Diceros bicornis minor: one gene and its partner. The protein of the gene in region 1 interacts with the protein of each later gene in a biochemical or structural test. Links are inferred from orthologs where the notes say so. Each region holds a gene or a part of one and is shown on either strand. Other genes may lie near its edges.

Region 1 (5,084 bases):
CGTGGCAGGGCCAAGTTCAAACCCAGACCAATCTGACTCCACAGCTTGAGGTTGCCCCCATTTCCCTGTGGCACGCCAGGTGGTCAGGATACTCACTGCTGTCGTGGATGGGCTGGGAGATAACTGGCTTCAGGGGCAGGGAAAAGGAGCCGTCGCTGGCTCGAAGGAAGGCGGAGAAGCGCAGTCGCACAATGCTCAGATCCATCACCTTCTTCAGCTCCTTGGCCTCCTGCTCCAGCTCCCGCCGCTCAGTCTCTGGGCAATGGGCACAGACGTGACCCCTGGACTCCTCCTCTACTCCTTCCATGACCACCTCTCATGACTCCCTCCCTCTCCTCCATACCCGTAAGGCCCTGGGGCCTGGAGCGGAGTCGCTGCCTCTGAAGTTTTTGTATCATAATCTCCATCATGTTCTTCTTCGTCACATGCAGGACGCCCAGGTTGTTAAATCTGGTGGGGGCAGGGGAGTCAGAGGCTTTACAGGCAGTTCTTTCCTCCTAAGGCACCCTCCCCACCACCAGGGCTCAGCTCAGCCCCACTTCCTCTAGGAAGTTTTTCTGGTTTTCAGTTGGGGCCTTGGGTTTTGGGGCCAGCCTAAGTCTCTCCCCTTGGTCAGATGCTAAGCTCATAGAGGTGGGCTGGGGCCTCGGACTGGCAGGCAATGAGGGGGCAAGCCAGTGGGGGCCAGGGGCAGAGGGCACCTACTGGGCAGTCATGTCCTTGGGCCCCACAGACACGGCACAGACCCCCAGCTCCGAGCACTGCTTGCCCACCAGGCTGTGGGCGTGAGCACGAGGCGGGTCACTGTGTGTTACCAGGTCCACCTCGATCTTGGCTGGTCCCTCGTAGTTACAGATCTGAGAGGGGTGAGGGCTGTCAGTAACGCCCCTGGACACACTATCCACTAGCCCACCCTCCAGCACCATCCTGGCTCACCTTGACAGTGGGATAAGTCTTCCGGCCCTTCTCGCTGGAGGCACCTGGCAGTCCCCCGTGGGAGGGGCCTTCACAGCCATATCGAAATCGGAAGCCTCGCTGAAGGTCCCAGGGCAGAGTGACATTGTGACCAGGAGAGACTCCCCCCAAGCCAGCCATACCCCCAGCCAGCAGTGACCATAATGACTGGTAGTGTTGGTCTTGAACCACAACCACACCACTGTGATCAGCAGCAGCCAATCATCCCAACCCAAAGTGGCCTCTGTGGTCAGTGACCCTCCCCATGGCCACCCAGCTACAACTACCCCACTTGCTCCCAAAGCTGAAGCCATCCTACACCATCCCTTCCACTCACTCACCTGCTTAGGCTGTTCCACGATCACCAGGTAGGGACCATCAGCTGGGGACAGAGGGGCCTTGCTAAGCCAGGATCTCTGAGCCCATCCCCAAGGCAGAGGGCACATGCTCCTCCCTCCCCCTCCCTCTAAGACAAGGGGATGTTAGGGGACTTACTAACCTGTCTCTGGGGCCGGCTCCTTGGGCTCTACAATGGATGGGTTGAATTTGAAATCATCATATTCAATGATACCATCCAGACCCTGCTTTGGAGAGAGACAGGTGGCAGCTGATTCTGAGCCACCTCCAGAGCCCTCCACTTCCCAGCTCTCGAAGCCCTTACTAATCACTCCCTCTCCTTCCCAGGCCCATAAGAAAGCTCCTATTGGAAACTTTGCAGACAGACTGATAAGCAGGCTGAGGTAATCCGAGGGCATTACAGGCGTAGGGGAGCAGAGGGGACTCGGACAGACAGGCAGACAAGCAGACAAACACAGGGGGGCAGCCGCCGGCTTCAGGTCAGGTGGCGTGACTCACTGGGTCGTAGCAACTCTCCATGTCTCTGGGCTAGGCCCGGCTCTATCTGGTGGCTCCGGCCGGGTTCTGTTTCCCAGAGTTTCAGGCGCCCGCCTTAGGTGGGGGGGAGTGGCGGGGAGAGAGAGAGATCAGGACGAGAGTGGGGGGAGAAAGGGGGGCCCAGATTTGGGGGAGGGTCCGATCTCCTCCAGCCACCCGTCCGGGTGTGGCGGGCGAGATCCGGTGGAGGGCGAGATCCGGAGCTGGGCTGGGCTGGGCCGGGGAAGGGGCAGGAAAGTTAGAACAGCTTAGGAAAGTCCCGAAAATACCAGCGGGGAGGCGGGGCCGGAGGGGGCGGGCCTGGAAATGACGCCACTGGCCACGCCCCCGCGGCGGGAGGGGCGCGCGGTCTTCTCTGGCCTGCGGGCGCCCGTAGCCTCTCAGTGGGCAGAGGGGCAACCAGACCCCAGGGAAGCCCCCGTGTGGGTTGGGCCCCCTCCTCCCTCCAGGCAGGCGCCGGGGACCAGAGGGTCTTTCATGGCCGGGGGAGGCTTCCAGTCCGCGTCCACGTCTGCCTCCATCCCCTCCCCCGTCCTGGAGCAACCTTGGGATTTTCTACCCCGAGGGAGGCCACGGCTGATTCACCCTGGGGGCTTTTGGGGGGACATTCCTGCTGTAGGAAGGCCTCCTCCCCGAAGGCCTGTAGGCGGGGGCTCTTCCCAGTGGGGGGCCCCGGGGTTCTGCCCCGAGAACCGGACTCTGGGGCCGCGGGGCGGGGGGAGGAAAGGTGTCTCTTCCTTGGGATGGGCTCCTCTATTACCTCTCCCCGAAACATCTTAACAGCTGTTGCTTCTCCCACTGCACCTGCTCTGCGTGCCCACGACCCCCGCCCCAGTCCGAGCCGTGTGTAATACATGTGTGTCTCTCCATCACAGGTATACAAGTGTGTTTCGGCCCATGTGCTTGCGTGCGTGTTGTGTGTGCATGGCGTCAACACGCGTGTGCCAGTGAGCATGTCTGTGTACAGGTGAGCGTCCTTAAACTTCTCAGTGTGGACACATGCCTGAGCATGTCTTGATATGTAAGGGCACAGGTGAACCTGTCTTTGAGTTTGTGCGTGAATAGTATGGGTCCAGACATCTGTGGGAGCATGTTTGCGTGTGCATGTGTGTGCGAGTCGAGTGCATGGGCAATGCTATACACACGCTGGCATACGTGTAGGTGTACGTACGGGTCGGCATGTCTTTGTACAAGGATGTCGATGTGTATCTGTGTGTCTTGTTCGTGTGTGTGATCTGTGCGTGTGTGTTCGCGCGCGCGCGCGCGTGCATAAGCCGCTCTCCAGCCCCGGGCTCAGAGTCAGGTAAGGGCCCTCTTCCCGCCCTTCCCCGTGTCCCGGGCACCCGGGAGGTCTGGACCTGGCCACTCACCGCGGCGGCGGCTCCGGTTCCGGCTTCTCTCCCGGCCCGACCCACCTCGGACGGGTCGCGACACCTCTCCAGCCACCAGGGCTCCAGCCGGGAAAGCCCCTTTTCCGCCCCCGGGAGGGGGGAATTCCCGTGACGTGTGCGTGCGTCACGCCCCATGCCCTTTTTCATTGGCTGAAAGTTTAACTCCCGGACTCGCGCAGCCAATCGGGAGCGACTCAGGTGCGCCTCTTAGAGGGGAAAAGATTCGCGCAGCGCGGGGAGCCGGGAGTGGGGATGCCTGTCACCCAGCCGTGAGCTCTGGCTGGGGGATCAGCCTGAGGCGGGATCCGCTGACTGACTGTCATTCCCGGGCCGAGGGCCCCGGCTCCGGTCTTCTCACCCACCCAGGCCTGCCCCAGACGGCTGGCAGCCCAGTCTGCTACTTGGCTTATGCTGTGCCTAACGCTTGGCCACCTCTGAAGCTGGGGAACCCCAGGGGGAAGCTGGCGGGCCCCAGCCCTGCGGTCCCCCGCTCGGAGCGGGACCCTGCTGCCAGGAAGAGTTAGGGGAAGAGGAAGGAAGTTGATTTTTCAGTCGGTCGCAGGGCGCCATCTGGCGGCCTTTCTGGAGCCTCACGGAATCTCCGTAATCCTCCCCTGGAAGGGACAATCCCGACCTAAAACCTCTTATATAAATGGCAGGTTCATAGCGAGCCAGACTTTCAGACCCGCTTGAGCTCAGGAGCTCATATCAGAATTGAAAACGCGTGCAAAATCTCAATAGGTCAAAATTCTTCCGATGTAGGAAATTGCGTTTTATATATTTCTCAACGTCCTCTTGAACACTAGTGGCAGCAAGGTCAGTATAGGATTTCACAAAGTACTGACTCCTAGGCTGGACATCTCTGGTTGGTAGAGTTTCTCTTTAGGCGATTCCGTGAGTAATCTCCATTCCTGGAGTCATCCTCCCTTAGGCTCACGGTGGAACACAGGCTGTTGCTTCAGATCTTTCCCGCAATTTATCCCTGCCCTTCTTCCTAATGGTATTACAGGCCCGCACTAGCTCTGCATAAAGGGAGATCATTATGGCCCTTAATTTGGACTCTCTATTTCCTGTTACTTCCCCCTCCTCTTCATCTTGCTGGAAAATGAAATGTGCTAGGTACTGTGTTAAGGTACTTTAGTATAAGTTCTTATTCTTCCTCCCAACAACCCTAGAAGGTAAATGTTACCTTTACTTTACTGATGAATAAATTAATTAATGCTCAGAGAGGTGAAGTAACACAACCAAATACACAGCTAGAAAAGGAAAAAGTGAGAATTCAAACCAGTCTGTTAACTCTAGGACGAAGCTCTTTTCCCCAAATCTATATAAAACAAAGCAGGCCTTTCCACCCCACTGTGGGCCTCTCAAGTAAATATAAGATACTATCAAACAATTTGCTGAAATCCAGGGATATTGTCCACTATAGGCCCCTGGTAAATCAGATCCTTAACTCTTAACCTGGAATGAGGTTAGTTTGGTATACTCCAACTTTGTGAACCTGTGCTGATTGCCACTGATCACGACTGTCCTTTCAAAGTGCTCATAAACCACCAGTTGAAATTGGCATGACTTCTTCCAGTCTCCACAATGTCTCTAAAAGTACCCAAAGAGGTTGAGCTATTTTAGTTATAAGATTCTGAGATGTAATTTACCTGAAGATTTTTAAAAAGCAAAACCTTTATTATAGAAAATTTCAAACATATAAAGAGTGGAGAAATAGTATAATGAACCCCTATTTACCCATCAGTCAGCTCCACCAATTCCCAGCGCTGGCCTGGATTTTTTAATTTTTTTATTTTTGTGAGGAAGATCAGCCCTGAGCTAACATCCATGCCAATCCTC
Region 2 (5,084 bases), on another chromosome or scaffold:
CTTGGAGGTCCAGATGCCCTGCGATTCTTGCTCCCCTGAGTCTCTAGAAGTCCAGCCTCCCACCCAAGCTTTGCCGCGCTGGGGACTTAGCGTGTCCCCCTCCCCCGCCCCCAGGCTGCGCCAGCTGCCCATTCCGGTAAAGTCTCGGCCCCCAGCGGAAGGGGTTAAGGTTAGAGGGAGCGCCAGGAGGGGGAGGCTGCGAGTGAGTGACGGGTGCTGACGTGGGGGAGGCCGAGCAGCTGGGCTGCGGTCAAGTTCTGCGGGAAGGGATTTCCCCCACAGGCAGCTGAGGCAGAAGTGTTTGCTTTGGGGGAGAAGGGGGAGAGGGGGGAGCGCGGGGGAGGGCGGGTGGGGCGCGGGGCTGGAGGCTGGTGTGCCAGGTCGCCTTCTGCACCCTGCTTTCACAGGCTGCAAACAGCTCACCCCTGGGGGCAGAGACAAACGAAATCGATTTCACAGATGACCCGGGAGGGACACAGAGGGGGAGGGAACTCGCTTGATCGAGCCCTTTATGTGTCTCAGGCACTTTCTCCGGCTTGGGCTCACACTGGCGGCCCATAACCACGCGGGGAACCTCTGTTCGAACACCACCCACCCCCATGTATTGAGCACCCACTCTGTTCTATGCACCATACGTATGTACATTATTGCACTGAATCCTCATTGTGCTGGGTGCTACCCTGAGCCTTGATTTCCAGATAGGGAAACTGAGGCTTAGGGATGTGAAGTCACCCAGTGGGCCGGTGGTGGAGGCCTCCCTTGTCCTGCAGACATAGGCCTGTTCATCCCATCCCTACCTATGGTTCCCAGTCCCCAATTCCCAGATAGGCACTTTATAGAAATCATCTCATTTCTGCCTCACAGAGACCCTCGCACACATGTGGTTCCTGTTTTTACAGGGGGAAACTGAGGCAGAGAGGGATGAGAAAGTAGCCAGCTGAGAAACTATTTCTATTTCTATTTCTAGACTAGAAAACACCAAAGCGGATCTCATGTAATAAGGATGAGTATTGTTTTGTTCTGGGCAATTATTTTTTCAAGTTTATATGTGTGTATATGCACTGGGTTTAATATAAAGTAGCAATAATAATATTAATTAATACTTATTGAGCACTTAGAATCTACCGGGCTCAGGCTAGGAGCTTAACATTATAACTCATATGATCAATCAGTCAATGAAATGTCTTTCTCATTTGGGGATTGTGATAAAATATGTGAAGCCCCCTGCCCTGAAAACAGTCCTAGGAGGTACGTGCTCTCAGGGGCCCCGTGTTTCAGAAGCGGAAACTGAGGCTCAGAGAGGGAAAGGGCCTTGCTTCAAGTCACACAGCAGGTGGTGGAGACAAGATTCTAACTGGGGTGGAGGGAACTCGACAGCCCAAGCTGAGTGCCCCTGTGTGGCGGTGGGTGAGGTGGGTGGAGGACTGGCTTCCCCACCCCCCATCAGCGGGGGACTGTTACTCACGTGTCTCCGTCCTCATCTGCACGGGTTGCCATGGCGATGTCAGCCGACAGGGGATGTTCCATGGGGCACACCATGGGGTACAGGGGCGTAGGCAGGTTCAGCAGAGGAAAGGGGGAGCCCATGGTCGGGGTGGGGTACAGGGGCAGTATAGGTCCTGGGCAGAGAAAGAACGTGAGTGAGGCCAAGCCCGCAGACCCTCAGCCCAGCCCCGACCTGTGGGCCTTCACCCCTGCTGGTGTCACCTGCACTTTTTCCAGGTCACTTTTGCATCTCCTACTGGGTCCTCAAGGCCCAGAACAATCTCCCCTTCCACGTCCCTCCTCTGGGCTCCAGCAGCTTCCCCCCAACCCTGTCCCCCAGCCCTCGTCACTCTCATTGTGACTTATCTTTTCATGTGTCTGACCCCCACCTCCTACTAGGCAGAGACCCCCATCATCACCCAGCAGGGGGACCCCAGGGCCTGTTTGCTGAGTGAATTTGTGGCTCAGAGAGGTAAGAATGGATGAAGCACTGGGTATAGGGCGTGGGGTGCATGCGTAGAGAGTTTGGGGTGAAGGGTGGGTGAGGAGGTGAGCAGGGGTGCCAGGAGCCTGTTCAGATCAAAGTGTTGGACAGGACCATGGCAACCGTCAAATCTGTATGGGCGCATCACACAGATGGGAAAACTGAGGCCTGGCTTCTCACCCAGGGAATGGGAGAGAGAGGAGGCCGCCTGATGCACAGCTCGAGGCTATCCAACTGCTCTGCGCTGATGGAGTGGAAGGTGCAGAAACTGGGCAAAGGTCTGCAGGCACTGGGCGGGCTCTCTGCAGCCTTGGGGGTCACTCGGGGATGGTGAGGTACGCACAGCTGTGGAAGGGGATGCCCCTTCCTCGAGATCACAGATGGAGTCAGGATGGGGAGAATGGCGTTTGGCCTTCTCTGTCATCTCCCGATCCTTGGGGACCCCCCATTCCTGAACCCCCAAGTTTCCAGGTCTCTGTATCGGCCTTCTGCCCAGCGACCCCTGAATCCTTCATCCTGGCCTAAATCCTTGAGTCCCAGAATACCCCAGTCCTGCCCCCCATTCCCAGAATCCTCAGTCCCCAAACCCCCTCGGGCCACCTGACTTTTTGATCTCAGATGAGACCTTGTCCCCTTGTGACCACACATAACCGGATCTCTGTCCCACTGGATCTCTGTCCCACTGGATCTCTGTCCCACTGGATCTCTGTCCCACTGGCTCCTCAAGACTGCCAGTACCTGGGTCTGTTTCCTTCAATCCCGTGATGCCTGGATATTGGGGTGCTCAGAACTCCAGCTCTGTTCTAATTCCCACTGTTCTCTGATATCTTGGTTCCTGAGATCTTCACACCCTGGGGTCCCTATTAGCTGTCTCCTTAGAACCCCCATCTCTGTTCCCCTGACCCCCTCTGACCCCACATATCTGGATAGCAAGAACCCCAGTTTCTTGGGCCCAAGTACCAACTTCGTATAACCCTAGATATATGGGTTCTTAAGAGCTTATAATTCCGTGTTCCTGGGACCACAGGACCTGCTCCCTTGATTCTCTGAGATCCCAGATCTGTACTGCAGGGCACTGTACCCTGGGTCCCCACGTCTGTGGCATTCAGACCCTGGGCTCTGTCCCCAGGGCCCCCTAACACCCACTGCCTAGGACCCTCATATTTGCAGTCCCAAAACACTGCTCCCCGGTGCTCCCATATCTGTGTCCTGGGACCTCAGGCTCTGCCCCCAGCTCCCCAGCAACTCCATATGTGTGTCCTTGGGACCCTGGATTCTGTGCCCCTGTCCCTCAGCTCCATGGGACCCATATGTGTGTCTGAGCTCTGCCCCGCGCTCTGTGACCCTGTGCCCCGTCTGGCTCCCACCCGGCCCTGACCCGCGGGAGCCACTCACCAGGGTAGTAAACCGCCTCAGGCCGGGCCAGGCCGTGGGGGGGCGCGGGGACCGCCGGCATGTCGGAGCCGCCGCGCAGGGGATCCGGGGGGACGAGCGGGCCCGTGGCGGCGCGGGGGGCGGCGGGCTCAGGGGAGGGCGCGCGGAGCGGGCGCTTGCGGAGCGGCAGCGCGGCGCCCGGGGGGCCGGCGGCCTTGGGCCGGGTGCGCAGGTCTACGGGCCCCTCGTCCATGGCCCCTGCGGGGCATCGGGGCATGGGGCCGCCGGGGACGGCGGCCGAGCGGGCGGCCGGAGCGCGGCTCGGCTCGGCGGCACGGGAGGGTGGTTGCGCCGGGCGCCGGGACTTCCCCTGCCGCCGGCTGAACTGAAGGGACTTTTGTCGGCCGGGGCGGTGCCGGCCGCCCGCCTCCCCGCCCCCGGCCCCCCCGGGGCCACCCGTCCGCCCCAGGGGTTTCCTGGACCCGCCGCCGCTCCGCCGCCCCGCGCTGCCTCCGCCGTGCGCCCCGCCCGCGCCGCGCCCCGCGCCCGCCCCTCCCGCCCCGCGCGCCCAGGGCGCCCGGCCTCTGCGGGGGGCGGGGGCGGGGTGGGAAGGAGGCGGGGTCGGGGGTGGGGGTCCCACCCCTGCGGTGCGGCCTGTCTCCGTCGCCGTCTCCGTGTGTGTCTTTCTGTCTCTCTACCGCTGCGCCTCTAACTCCGTCTCTGACCCTCCTGTCCCGATAGGTGTCTCTCCGAGCCTCTGTCTCTGTGTCTCTGTTCTCCCACTGTCTCTATTGTCTCTGTGTCTCTCCCCATCTCTCTGTCTCGAGTGCTGTCTGCCTCGCAGCCTCTGCCCCAGGGAGGCACTTCCATGAGGCCCCGGGGTCGCTGGGACGCGGGGTCGAGTCCCGACTCCCACTTCCTGGCCGGGTGACCTTGGCAGGGCACTTCCCTTCTCTGAGCCGCTTCCTCCAGTGCGAGGGCGAGGAGTGCCCTGGGAGGCGCCCTGGCACCATTCCTCTGCCTGCCCTGCCCCCACCTCTGCCTCTCCATGTGCCTCCCCGGCCGCGGCCTGAACTTCGCTGGGGTGGGGGGCGATGGCGAGTGCGCAGAGGAGCCCTGAGTGTGTCTCCCCGCGTGGGGTCCCTGCACCCGGCCCGAGCACCGGGCACCGGGTGGGTGCTCTGGGAATCCTGGACGCACGGAGAGAAAGAGACGTGGCGACACAGCCACACAGATCGTGAGACACCAAGCAAAAGAGAGACAGAGAGATAGCAAGAGACGCAAAGACGCAAGATCAGAACCGGAGCGACCCAAGTCCGGGCCTGGGGGGCGCAGTGATGCTCCCCCTCCCTTCCCCCTCCCATCCCCCTCCCATCGCGGGCAGGGTTGGTGGGTGGGGAACAGGCCGGGCGGGTTGGGGGCATGACTCAGAGGCAGGCTGGAGCCAGGGGGTGGATGGAGGGGCGGAGGCTGGCCTGCTCCCGGCCCCTCCCCTCGCGCCCTTCTCCCCGCCCCGGGGAGGGGCCTGGCGCGCGGGGCTTTCCCGGATTTCCCTGGAGGCGGGGCCGTCGCCGGGGTTGAGCCCCGGTCACTGAGTTACGGGAGGCGGAGGGGGAGGCTTTGGGGACCTCGGGGGACAGGGAATGGGGGCTGCACCCCGGGTCTGTGCAGGCGGCACGCAGGGGCTCCCTGGTTCTCTCTCTGTGTCGCCCCCTGTCTCTGCGACTCTGTCCCTCCATCC

Evidence for each region. The genes of interacting proteins can lie anywhere in the genome.
Region 2: the proteins of NFKB2 (region 1) and BCL3 form a complex in vitro, tested with the Homo sapiens proteins (2 studies listed by BioGRID). The link is inferred for Diceros bicornis minor from reciprocal best matches to the Homo sapiens genes NFKB2 and BCL3.

The regions. Positions count from the first base shown.
Region 1 is NC_080745.1:67,377,302-67,382,385, reverse strand, and holds the start of NFKB2 (nuclear factor NF-kappa-B p100 subunit), read right to left. Parts: upstream 3,325-5,084; 5' UTR 3,219-3,324; intron 2,088-3,218; exon of another isoform or gene 1,903-2,087; 5' UTR 1,831-1,902; coding exon 1,810-1,830; intron 1,539-1,809; coding exon 1,454-1,538; intron 1,337-1,453; coding exon 1,296-1,336; intron 1,036-1,295; coding exon 937-1,035; intron 858-936; coding exon 706-857; intron 451-705; coding exon 344-450; intron 256-343; coding exon 97-255; intron 1-96. UniProt on the Homo sapiens protein: NF-kappa-B is a pleiotropic transcription factor present in almost all cell types and is the endpoint of a series of signal transduction events that are initiated by a vast array of stimuli related to many biological processes such as inflammation, immunity, differentiation, cell growth, tumorigenesis and apoptosis.
Region 2 is NC_080773.1:19,124,796-19,129,879, reverse strand, and holds the start of BCL3 (B-cell lymphoma 3 protein), read right to left. Parts: upstream 3,776-5,084; 5' UTR 3,621-3,775; coding exon 3,365-3,620; intron 1,620-3,364; coding exon 1,466-1,619; intron 1-1,465. UniProt on the Homo sapiens protein: Contributes to the regulation of transcriptional activation of NF-kappa-B target genes. In the cytoplasm, inhibits the nuclear translocation of the NF-kappa-B p50 subunit.